Linked DNA regions of Drosophila melanogaster. The protein of the gene in region 1 interacts with the protein of each later gene in a pairwise test. Each region holds a gene or a part of one and is shown in the gene's direction. Other genes may lie near its edges. The genes, in order: bowl, Npc1b and CG13144.

The links.
Region 2: the proteins of bowl (region 1) and Npc1b interact in a two-hybrid assay, tested with the Drosophila melanogaster proteins (one large-scale study listed by BioGRID).
Region 3: the proteins of bowl (region 1) and CG13144 interact in a two-hybrid assay, tested with the Drosophila melanogaster proteins (one large-scale study listed by BioGRID).

The regions. Positions count from the first base shown.
Region 1 is NT_033779.5:3,769,735-3,773,489, forward strand, and holds the start of bowl (brother of odd with entrails limited), read left to right. Parts: upstream 1-1,965; 5' UTR 1,966-2,139; intron 2,140-2,185; exon of another isoform or gene 2,186-2,281; intron 2,282-2,291; exon of another isoform or gene 2,292-2,582; intron 2,583-2,726; 5' UTR 2,727-2,960; intron 2,961-3,755. UniProt on the Drosophila melanogaster protein: Putative transcription factor. Required for leg joint formation, acting downstream of Notch to pattern the leg tarsal segments. Functions in the terminal pathway during embryogenesis, acting downstream of tll in the posterior of the embryo.
Region 2 is NC_004354.4:20,932,718-20,936,472, forward strand, and holds the start of Npc1b (Niemann-Pick type C-1b), read left to right. Parts: upstream 1-2,151; 5' UTR 2,152-2,235; coding exon 2,236-3,411; intron 3,412-3,565; coding exon 3,566-3,755. Other genes in the region: CG11227 (uncharacterized protein), read right to left, coding at 1-546, 604-766. UniProt on the Drosophila melanogaster protein: Important for cholesterol absorption at the midgut epithelium. Acts only in the early steps of sterol absorption, prior to Npc1a-dependent intracellular sterol trafficking.
Region 3 is NT_033779.5:10,489,745-10,493,499, reverse strand, and holds CG13144 (uncharacterized protein), read left to right. Parts: upstream 1-2,045; 5' UTR 2,046-2,135; coding exon 2,136-3,011; 3' UTR 3,012-3,600; downstream 3,601-3,755. Other genes in the region: Myo31DF (myosin 31DF), read left to right, coding at 1-711, 786-943, 1,001-1,169.

The DNA.
Region 1 (3,755 bases):
CTACAAACTACCAGCTGAACTCCGAGTTGGCCACATGTTTTACACAAATTTCAAGTAATTTATTTTAAAATCGTAAAGCGATGCAAAATATGCAAGGAGGGAAGCCACTTCAACCGACGGGCACTCAGAAAAATCACAACGATCTTATGGTTCGCATTAGCATATATATCTTATTTGTACATCTTTATTTTAAGCAAAAAGAGCAAGGTAAGGGTTAGATATTAGATATTATTATTAAACAATAGTCAATTTCAATTTTATGTATTGTGGAATCCAATTATAAGGGAGACCAATTATGGTAATTATTTATTTTATTTCTTATTTACTTATTGTTATTTATATATGCTGAAAATTATTTTCCGAGTGCAGCAAGAGCAACAGTTGTTGATGGGGGAAGTCGACGACGACTAGCATAACAATTCGCTCGCCCTATGAGGCAGCTACCGTTTTTCCGTCTTCTCTTTTCTACCACTTATTTCTGGTCTTCTGCCTGTTGCCGCTTTGTATCTCCATTTCCACTTACTGTTTTTGCAGTGGCAGCAGCCACAATTTAGTTCCACTGTGCAGCACCTTAATTACATGGCTACGGACTCTCTTTTGTTGGGTACTTTTCGGGTTTTTCTTTTCTGCATCTCGGAATCATTACGACCATGATCACCGTCGTGGCCGAAACGTAACTCCCTCTACTTTTGGGACCCTAGCTGATTTTTGGTCTTTTTGTTAACGTCTTTTCTTTTACCACTTGACCGCATTGATGCTGCATTGCGAGCAGAGGTTGCCAGATTGTTAGAATAGAAATTTTACAGTCTATTATAATAATATAAGACCTATTTACATAGCCTAGCTCGAATCAATCATTTACCTATGTTTTATTTTTTTCCAAGTTCCCGTGCTCGCCTTCTTTTATAAGGACTAATTACCATTAATAAAAGTCAGTCTGGCGATAAGATGGTTTCTAGACTTATATTGTTTTACGACCTATTTCCATAAATGAATTGTATAACTCGGCTGCCGATTAATCATCAGTGTATATTTAAATACATATGTATAAATATTTTTCCCTAAAGCTACCAACTAATTATTCCAAATAAATATTTACTTATCAGTAGAACATTGGAACTTGTCATAATATAGATATATAGTCGTGTGAGTAATGCACTTTATTTCACCCCAACTTTCGACTTGGCAACCCCTTCTTCGAAGAAACCTTATCACCTTGCCTCCCTAAAAATGCTTTCTGATTAGTCATTCCCCTAAATGAAACCGCAACAAAAGCCGAAGAACAAAATACACCCCCACTAAAAAGGCATAACAATAAACAGGGAACTACCAGAGTTACACCCTCCTCCTCCTTTTCGGGTGAAGCCACCATAACGATCCATGGGCAGCAGCAGCAACGGCAATCTGGCAACACCCGGGCCAATTGTACCCTACCCTCTCGACTGGGCCAAAAAAAAAAAAGCAGTCGGTGGTAGTCGGTAGTCGGTCGGTAAACAGGTAGCGCTCTAACTGACAATAACTCGTCGTACGAATGCACGTTCCACGCTCCGCCAGTGCCAGTCTCCATATAAGTCCGTCCACGGGCCCATCCGTCCATTTAGCAGCGTGCGACTGGCGGCCGGTTGGGTTTGGGTTGAGTTCGGTTTAATTCCTCTCCTCCACTGAAAGAAATGTCGTACTATATTCAAACTGAATATAAGTTACTAGTTAATTCAGAAAAATATGTAAATGCATCCATTATTTATCTAGTATATTTAAGCAGATAGATTTATACTGTTGTTATTTACAGAAAATTAGAGCCTTACTCTTCAGATATTTAAGAATTGTTAAAACTTTTTCCACAGTGCACTAAGCTGGTTTTAGTGCCACTGCTCGCTACTCGTCGCTTGTCTCTTTCTACGCATTTCTCAGCCCGCGATTCTCTCGATTCTCTCTTTTTCCATTCGGGCCCTGTTTCTTGGGTTCGTGGCTCAGTCTTCGAGAGTTGATCGTGGCCAACGCACCTGCGCGCGGATCGCTGGTAATAGCTGTTGGAAAAGTGAACTGCATTGTGAGTGCCTCTCGCTCTATATCTATCTGTATCTTTCGCCGCCGATGTATCTTATTGAGCGGGCCCAGAGCGCTAGTGTGTGTGTGTGTGTGAGTGAACTTGTTGCATCGCCAGTTGCCTCGAGAAAAGCGCTTTTCAACTGCAACTGACTCTGTGTGTGGGAAGAGTTTGGGACTACTTGAGGAGCGAATTGGTAGCTGCACTGGCTTCAGCTCCTATTTCAAACAAAATGTAGAAAAACACATTTCAGCTGCCGTGTATCTCTCGTTCTCGTTCGGTTTTCAGTTCGTTGAGGTTGAGGTTTCGGTTCGGGTTTTTCTTCGTTCGGTTTTCATATCTGTGAGATACAAATACATCGTGTGTTTGTGCGCGAGTTGTACGTGGATTTTGGAAGGAAAAAAACTACGTGGTTTGTGGTAGCTGACTGCCGTTGATGCTGCTGCTGCTCCCGTAACCGCCCCCCTGCCGCCCCCTCAGCCCCACCCCCTGGGGCGATCGTGCCGTGATTTGAATCTCAAAATTGTCCCTTAGTGTGCGTGTTTTTTTAAATACATTTACTTGAGAATGATTCGGTGAAATACTTGTTAAAATTAAAATCAAACCTGAAAATATAACAAAAAATTTCCGACAAATATTTTGAAAATTTTAATAAAATTATTTACTTTTAAATTCACAGAATCGTATTAACAGAAGTCTTCAAACAAATACAACAAGAAAAAACAACATACAATTCAAGTGCCACTTAAATGATATAAATTACTACTTTAAAAACCAAAAACAATGCCAAGCATTTCAAAGCTTACAAACTGACAAAAAACCAGCAAAATCATATTGAAACAACTACTTGGATACTTTAGGACGCAAAGATAAAGCCCAAAGAGCCTGGGGCTTTCTTCTGTTTAACCCACAGGTAAGATTCCGCCGAGAACAGGCCCTGCCTTCCCAGATGAACACAAAAATTCCACACCACTTATTTTTACTTGTTTTATTTTTTGTTGTTTTTTTTTTTGTTTTCTGTTTGTGGCGTAGGGCTAGCTAATTACGTTTATTATTTTTTTATTTTGGTATTTTTTGCGTTGGCCAAAAAGGCAGCGAGTACAAAAATATAACGAGTACGCAGACAGAGAAGGAGAGAGAGAGAAAGACCCAAGATATATCTCAAAACCTGCTCCACAAATAGAATGAGACGGGGCGAAAAAACAGGAAAGAGAGCGCAACAACGTTGGCGGTTGGCGGACTGTCGACCGACAAGCGGCTTCCACTACAACTGCATGTGCCACTGTCATTGCCACTGAACTCAGTGTGGTGCCGCACAGTCCACGGTGGAGTACGTCCCCCATCCCCCCGCAAACTTCCCCACCATCCTGAACCACCCGCTTGCCCCATTGTTGTTGCTGTGGCGCTCAGTTCGAGTTGGTCGGTTCGAGCCGGACTCGAAAAACCTTCGCTTGGAATTCTGGGGGTCTCTTATGGGTGCTCTTGGTAAGGGTACTTCGTTTGAAAATGGTGTACACAATTTGTAAAATATTATTTAAAAATATTAATCGGTGTTAATAACGTTACATTTCTGAAAAACTTTAATTTTACAGAATTTCAAAGCATCGCGTTAGGTTTTAAAAATATATTTTACGAAATTTAGGCAAACTTAGTTTAATAAGCTGATAGTTTATAAGCTTCTTATTTATTCCAGTGTTTTTTTTTCAAC
Region 2 (3,755 bases), on another chromosome or scaffold:
GATTTTCATGTTCCTCGTTGAGCATTGCGTCTGTTTCCTGATCTAGGACAGTTTTACCTTTGATTTTTTGAATGAATTTGTTTATATCAGGTTTTCTTGGAATCAATGTCGATTTAGAAGTATTTTCTATGATGTTTACCTTTTCGAGTGGATCGTAATCAGCTTCATTCGATATATTTCTTTCAGGAACCCATTCGGTCTCTTTACTCAACCGCTCATCAAGAGATTTCAATGAAGCCGGCTCTTCAGTGTCAGCATTTCTTTGGCGTTCCATAGAGAACAGCTCCAAGGAAGTTAGAGGAATTCCCAAGCACTCAAAATGAGTATTGCGCCTATACAAATTCACAAAGCCTATTCCTGGATGAGTGGTATCCTCTGAAGATTGCGATATTTCCTCTTCGATTTCGGTATTTTGATCGGTTTTCCCACCCACCTCACGCTCTGGTTTAGCTTCGACCATACGAGGCGCGGGAAGGCAGAGGTGGGTCTCGATTTCGTGGACCAACTTCAAATAACCGTTGGCAAGGTTTTTCAGAATGCCCAACTCTAAGTTATTGAAACAAAGTTGACTTGAACTATAGACTTATAAGATATAGAACATACTCTGCGGTGCCATTTCTGGACCCATTGCCTTACCGCCATCACCATCCTCCTCCTCAGCATCCTGACCATTCTCAAATTGGGAATCCGGAACTCCACGGTGATTCTGTTTTTTTTTAATACGCGCTAGGGTCTTTTTCTCCGAGTAGCAGAACTTTTTGGCCATTTCATTTAGACTAATTTAAAAACTGTACCTAAACATGAAATTTTACCAGACTTTCACATAGATCAAGCAAAAAAATTGCTTGCCATCTGATTGATAAAACGAACGAGATACGATTACAATTTTCTGCTTCGAATAAATATCGAATAAACACATAGGCAATTGTTTTAAAGAATTTTCCCAAAAATTTACTAACATCTGTAAATACTTTCCAACGAAGGCTTTTAATTTTAAGCTCTACACTTATGTACATATATGCCACGAATCATTTTCTGGGTTCCTCTTCCTAAATGATCACAATTAAATCAACATCTATTGAAATTGAATATATAAATTTACGTTGTGGAGAACTTGCCAAGACTCAAATATAAAATAGTATGTTTAATTACAATTACAAATGCGATTGGAGATTATTCAAATCTAATTTAGTTCCAGGAACGAAGCATTCGATTCCCGGAAACCAAACGTATGCCACTCGCTTGGCCAACAATTTTTTGGCTACTTCAGGTGGTTGGTATTTCTCAGTGAATCACTCATCCGGCGCAGATTAAGACCTTCGCGCCGAAGTTGCCGAGCAGTATAAACTTTACGGCAGTCGAGGGTCTCGAGAGGTCTTTTAACTTATCAACAAAGAAGGGAACAGGTGTTCCAGCCAAGAGCCGATCGCGATTTTATTGTGCCGTCGAGCTGAGCCAGCTGCTCTGGGGCCAATTCACCATACGATAAGCCCAAGATACAAGCTCAGGTGTCTGCACAGGTGCAGTTCCAGCGAAGTGTTAACGTGAAAAAGTTTGAATTAAGGATTATTGTGCACCTTTGCCAAGAGCAAATATAGTAAATGTTTGAGTAAAATAAAGGTAACGGCAATAGCGCTGAAAAACAGAATCAAAAAGATTCCACGAGCTACAGATACTAAGTTTCTTATCAACAGCGAATATTGGGGGAAGCCAATTACAAATCTAAGTGTAAAATCATTTCATTATTAAGTATTATTATAAAGCTTTGTGTCTGCATGAAAGACCTTCGAAGAGAGCTACTGTCTGGTTACTCTGCCATCCAAAGAAGTTAGCTGCAAGGGACTTAGATTCGGAATTGACCTCTAATATCTAATCGTTTTTCGATCACCTGTCGCTATGTGAACATATTAATCCGCGTGAAGATAAGGTCCCTCTGCATACCCATTAAGCCTGCTCCAACACAAAATCCAAATGAATTCAGAAGCTTATCACCTGGCGATAAGGACGGGGGAAAAAAATAGCGAAAGAAACTGGAAACGGGGGAAATCTAATCGATGGGTACTCAACCCGATTTCCGATATAGCCTGCCCACCTTTTAATGTGTTAATGGTCAGTGGATTGGGCTGGGTTTGATTCAGTTAGTGGCGTGCTGCCGGCGCGAATTGTTTTCACTCTCTACGAAGAGTAGAGTTCTATAGGCTTATTTGTTTATATTTTTTTTTTTTTAGTGTCGGAATGAAAGTGATTTTTGCAACTATATGGCTTATAGCCGGAGCTTGGTCGCAAAGCGCAGAGCAGTTGGGATGCATTTGGTATGGTCAGAGTCACATGATAGGTGCCCATTGGGTGAATAAGGGCGACACGAATCCAGCGAGACCTCTGAATAGCCCAACTTCAGAAGCCATATTCGCCAAGCGATGTCCAATGTTGTACAAGGAGTACAAAGGTGAAAGTGGGGAGGATGAGCTCAGTCTGTGCTGCGATGCGGCCCAAATCGAGACCATGGAATCTGGATTATCACAAGCAGATGGTGTCTTCTCCAGATGTCCCACCTGCACAAGAAACATGGCCTTGACCGTATGCGCCATGACCTGTGCCAAGAACCACACTCTCTTCTTGACCGCCTACAATGACACAAACGATGCAGGAGTGGACTATGTGAAATACATTGACTATCGACTTACAGATGATACGGTATCGAAGATCTACAACAGCTGCATTGGTATACAGCACACGCAAACCGGACGTCCTGCCATGGATCTGGGCTGTGGCAGCTACAATGCCAAGACCTGCAACTACCGGAGATGGTACGAGTTCATGGGCGACGTTTCCGGCGACTACGTGCCGTTCCAGATCAACTACAAATGGTCGGAGGACGCGGAGGAGGGTTCCAATGAGATATACCTCGATCTGAGCCCCCTGAAGTGCGGCGAGAGTTACGAGGACAGCTACGCGTGCGCCTGCATCGATTGCGAGGAGTCCTGCCCGTTGACCGATGCTCCTACGGGTCCCGACGAGCTGTGGAAGATCGCAGGATTGTATGGAGTCACCTTTATTCTGGCATTAATCATCGCCTGCGCCCTTTCGTTCTTTATTTTCTGGGGTGCTTTTGGCAAGACATCGGCTCCTAGTGTCTGCATGCCCACCCTCTTCGGCGAGTTTTTCTACCATGGCTTCCGCATCTGGGGCACCTTTTGTGCCAAACACCCGGTCATAGTTCTGGCACTCTGTTCCTGGGCCATCGCCGGACTGTCCTTCGGCATTCGGTACATGACCATCACTACGGATCCTGTGGAACTATGGGCAGGCGAGGAAAGTCAGACGAGGATCGAGAAGGACTATTTCGATCAGCACTTCGGCCCGTTCTATCGCACCAACCAGATGTTCGTAAAGGCCGTCAATCAGACATATGTAAGTAGCAATAAACTAGGCTGTTAAAATGTCAGTTTAAGTAAAAAGGTCATTTGAAATCGCAACAATAATAGACACTAAAATTGTCCAGTTTTGTGTAACTTGTTTAAAAGCCCTCCTAAAAATCTATCAAAATCTTCGATACTCTTTACAGTTCACCCACGAAACTTCCAATGGTGTCCTGAACTTTGGTCCAGCCTTCGAGTATAACTTCCTAAAGGAAGTCTTCGAGCTGCAGGACTCTATTATGAAATTGGGTATGGCGGATAATGAGGGCCTCGATAAGATCTGCTATGCCCCTGTCTTAATGGCTGGTGAAACGCCCACAGTCGATCGCTGCGCAA
Region 3 (3,755 bases), 6.7 Mb from region 1:
GTTAAGTACGGCCACACAAAGATCTTTATACGCTCGCCACGCACCCTGTTTGCCCTGGAGCATCAGAGGAACGAAATGATCCCACATATTGTGACGCTGCTGCAAAAGCGAGTGCGTGGATGGATTGTGAGGAGAAACTTTAAGAAGATGAAGGCGGCAATTACGATCGTGCGCGCCTATAAGGCCTACAAACTGCGTAGCTACGTCCAGGAGCTGGCCAATCGCTTACGGAAAGCCAAGCAGATGCGCGACTACGGCAAGAGCATCCAGTGGCCACAGCCGCCGCTCGCCGGACGTAAGGTGGAGGCTAAACTGCATCGTATGTTCGATTTCTGGCGAGCCAACATGATCCTGCACAAATATCCTCGCAGCGAGTGGCCGCAATTACGTCTGCAGATTATCGCCGCCACTGCGCTGGCCGGAAGACGACCCTATTGGGGTCAAGCGCGCCGCTGGGTGGGTGATTATCTGGCCAACTCGCAGGAGAACAGCGGATATGAAGCCTACAACGGAAGCATAAAGAACATAAGGAACCACCCCGCCGACGGCGAGACCTTCCAGCAAGTGCTCTTCTCCTCATTCGTCAAGAAGTTCAACCATTTCAACAAGCAGGCTAATCGCGCCTTCATCGTTTCCGATTCGACCATCCACAAACTGGACGGTATCAAGAATAAATTTAAGGACATGAAACGCACCATTAAAATTAGGGAGGTTAGTAGATAGTATAATAATATATTATATTATTATATTATAATATTAATTCCGTATCTTGACTTCGCTTACAGTTGACGTCCATTAGTGTCTCACCCGGCCGGGATCAACTAATCGTCTTCCACTCGTCGAAAAACAAGGATTTAGTGTTTTCCCTGGAGAGCGAGTACACGCCCCTCAAGGAAGATCGCATTGGCGAAGTGGTGGGCATTGTGTGCAAGAAATACCATGAGTAAGTGGAACGCCCATTTAGTATGTTCACCAGATATTAATATCAAATCCTTTCCAGCCTCACTGGAACCGAGTTGCGTGTGAATGTGACCACCAATATTTCCTGTCGCCTAGACGGCAAGGCACGCATTATTACCGTGGAGGCGGCGTCCAATGTGGAGGTCCCCAACTTCCGTCCTAAAGAGGGCAACATCATTTTCGAGGTGCCGGCGGCGTACTGCGTTTAGGCGGAATCAACTCCGCCCAACTGTATTGTAAATTATGGAACCTAGTTTTAAGACTGGGCTCATCACCCTCTTTTCTACTTGTGACCCATGTGTCCCACCAAGGACATGACGACTCTGTGTATACCGTGCCTTCCGCCAAACACCCGCTTTGTAGTTTTTAATACGTCATTCTATAGTTAGTCCTATCTGTTTATCTGTTCTGTGTGTGACGACATGATTGTAATTTTGTACATTTTTCTATTATGCGTATGCGTTAAGGCGATATTTATTTAACATCCATGTGAGAGGAATACCACCTCCGCCGGTTGAGCTGGCCGACGAAAAGAACGAAAAGTATTAAATGTACTTTGTGCATTTCTTCAAATATGATTCACAGCACACAAGAAACCATTTGTAACGATCAGTAAAATGTTTGTACTTAAAGCGAAAGATCACAAACATATGTGTGCCATTTGCAAATATTATTGAAATAATATATGAAATAAAAGATGTAAACTTTGTACTTGAGAAAGCTGGTTAATGACTATTTTTTTATATCAATAAGTTAAAGAGAAGTTAACTTACCAAACATAAGCATAATGTGCATAAGTTCCCTATCCCAACCTTGATCTGAATTGAACCCATTCAAAATTTCGGTCATTTCGTCATGAATTCCCCCAAAATGTGCGTTCGGCATTTGAATATCTGTGAGTTTCTGCATCTGTGAATCTTTTTCAAATGCTGCTTTAAATCCAAACGTAAAATCCGTACGCATTCGTATGCGAATGCGATCAAAATGTATTGGCAGAGACCGAAATAAAGTGCACATGGCTCGCCGCCGATTGATAAAAGATAAAAATAAAGAGATCGGCCTCTCTTTATGCGGAATGTGCGCTCGCATTCGCCTGTAAATTCTCGAAGGGAACGCGTGCAATTCGGAGCATCGAAGCACCCAAGGTGATTACATAAAGCCAGAAAACCAGAACCATGCAGAAGGCCATCAAGAAGGAGCTCAGCTTCTCGCTGGACACGCTGGAGCGCTATAGGGCCAAGTACGGACGCAGTGCATCGCTGGACACAAACGGCACACCAATTGCACACACAGACGGCGACCAGGCTGCTCCTGCGCCGCCACCGCCCTCGATCTTCACAAAGTCGTTGTCGCCACCAAAGATGACCAAGCTTCAGGAGTTGCAGCAGAAGAAGGAGGCCTATTTAAGGGCCAAGGAGCACGAGCGGGAAATGGAGCAGCTGCAGCGCACAGAAAGAAGGTCCATCATAAATGGTTCGGATACGCCCAAGCCCAAGACAGGCAGTCCAACGAGCACTTCACCGACTCCCAATGCAAGTTCCTCGTCAACCGCTGCCGTGGCTACCAAGACCTCCAGTCCAGCTGGCTACACCAACTGGTCGAATCACCATGCCACACTCTGCTCCCAGTCGTGGGTGGCCATCTCCGAGCTCATGTACTTTTGCGACAAGTATGAGTTCACCACCCTCAGCACACGCGATCTGAGGACGCACCAGGAGATCGTGGCCGAGGTGAGAGCTCTGCTGTCCGGCAAGGCGCCCTTCGATCAACGCACCCGCTTCCCGGGTAACATTCACGATCCGGAGAACTTGTGGGTTTGCATCGGTCGCTGTGCCAGCGTGGAATACCATCTGCAGCGCATCATCAGCATCTTTCGCAAACCTCTCAATCAATTGACACCGGACAAACAGCGAACGGTGCGTCAGAATTTCCACCTGGCGGTCAGCGAACTGCGGCTGGACATCTCGGCGAGGATTAGCGAGGTGCGGCTGTACGATCGCCTGGTCTTTGAGCGCGAGTTCCGGCTGGAGTGGCTGGATGAGGAGGCCTAGTGGATTAAATGGTTTAAAGGATGAGTTAGGTGGACAATAACGTTTATTGGCAATTCTTCGCTCTTTTTTGCGGTGCGCGGTGGAAAAAACGGTTACAAAAATACACTTGGACACAGGAGGCCGGAGCATGGAGCACACGACTATGGTAACCAGTGTGCTGGCTGCTCCATTCAACATACATATAAGGGGTATCTCGTCAACTGATCATCATTATGATTTCTTTGGCTGCAATTGATTTGCTTAGTAGTTAACGTAAGGAACATTTTCAATCAGAAAGATTTTACATAAATTCTGTGTAGATTCTATTGTACAAAGCATTAGGACAATCATAATCAAAATCAGTTGTCGCACATGCCCATATACAAAGTTAACCACATATTTCACAAATCTAGGCCATGGATTCCTGCAACAACTGCTCGCACAACTAAATCTAAAGGCCGCCGGCGGTCAGGTGGAATCTGAGGATACAGCTCGAGCCTGTCCGCCGATCAGGACAACTTATTGCTCCGTAATACGTAATACAAACATTTATATATATGTACACAATGCTAGCGGTATAAATAAAGCACTTTTGTGTGGGCCAACATGGATTTGCTTGCGAACAAGTGTGCTGCTAGTGCGGAGTGCTTTAACATCTAGCGGAAGATTCAGGTTGCAGATTATCATAGTTCTTTTTGGATCCCAGGGATCTCTTCAGTGGGTTCGTTTAACGTGCAGCTAGTCAACATCTGTGTAATCTGTAAT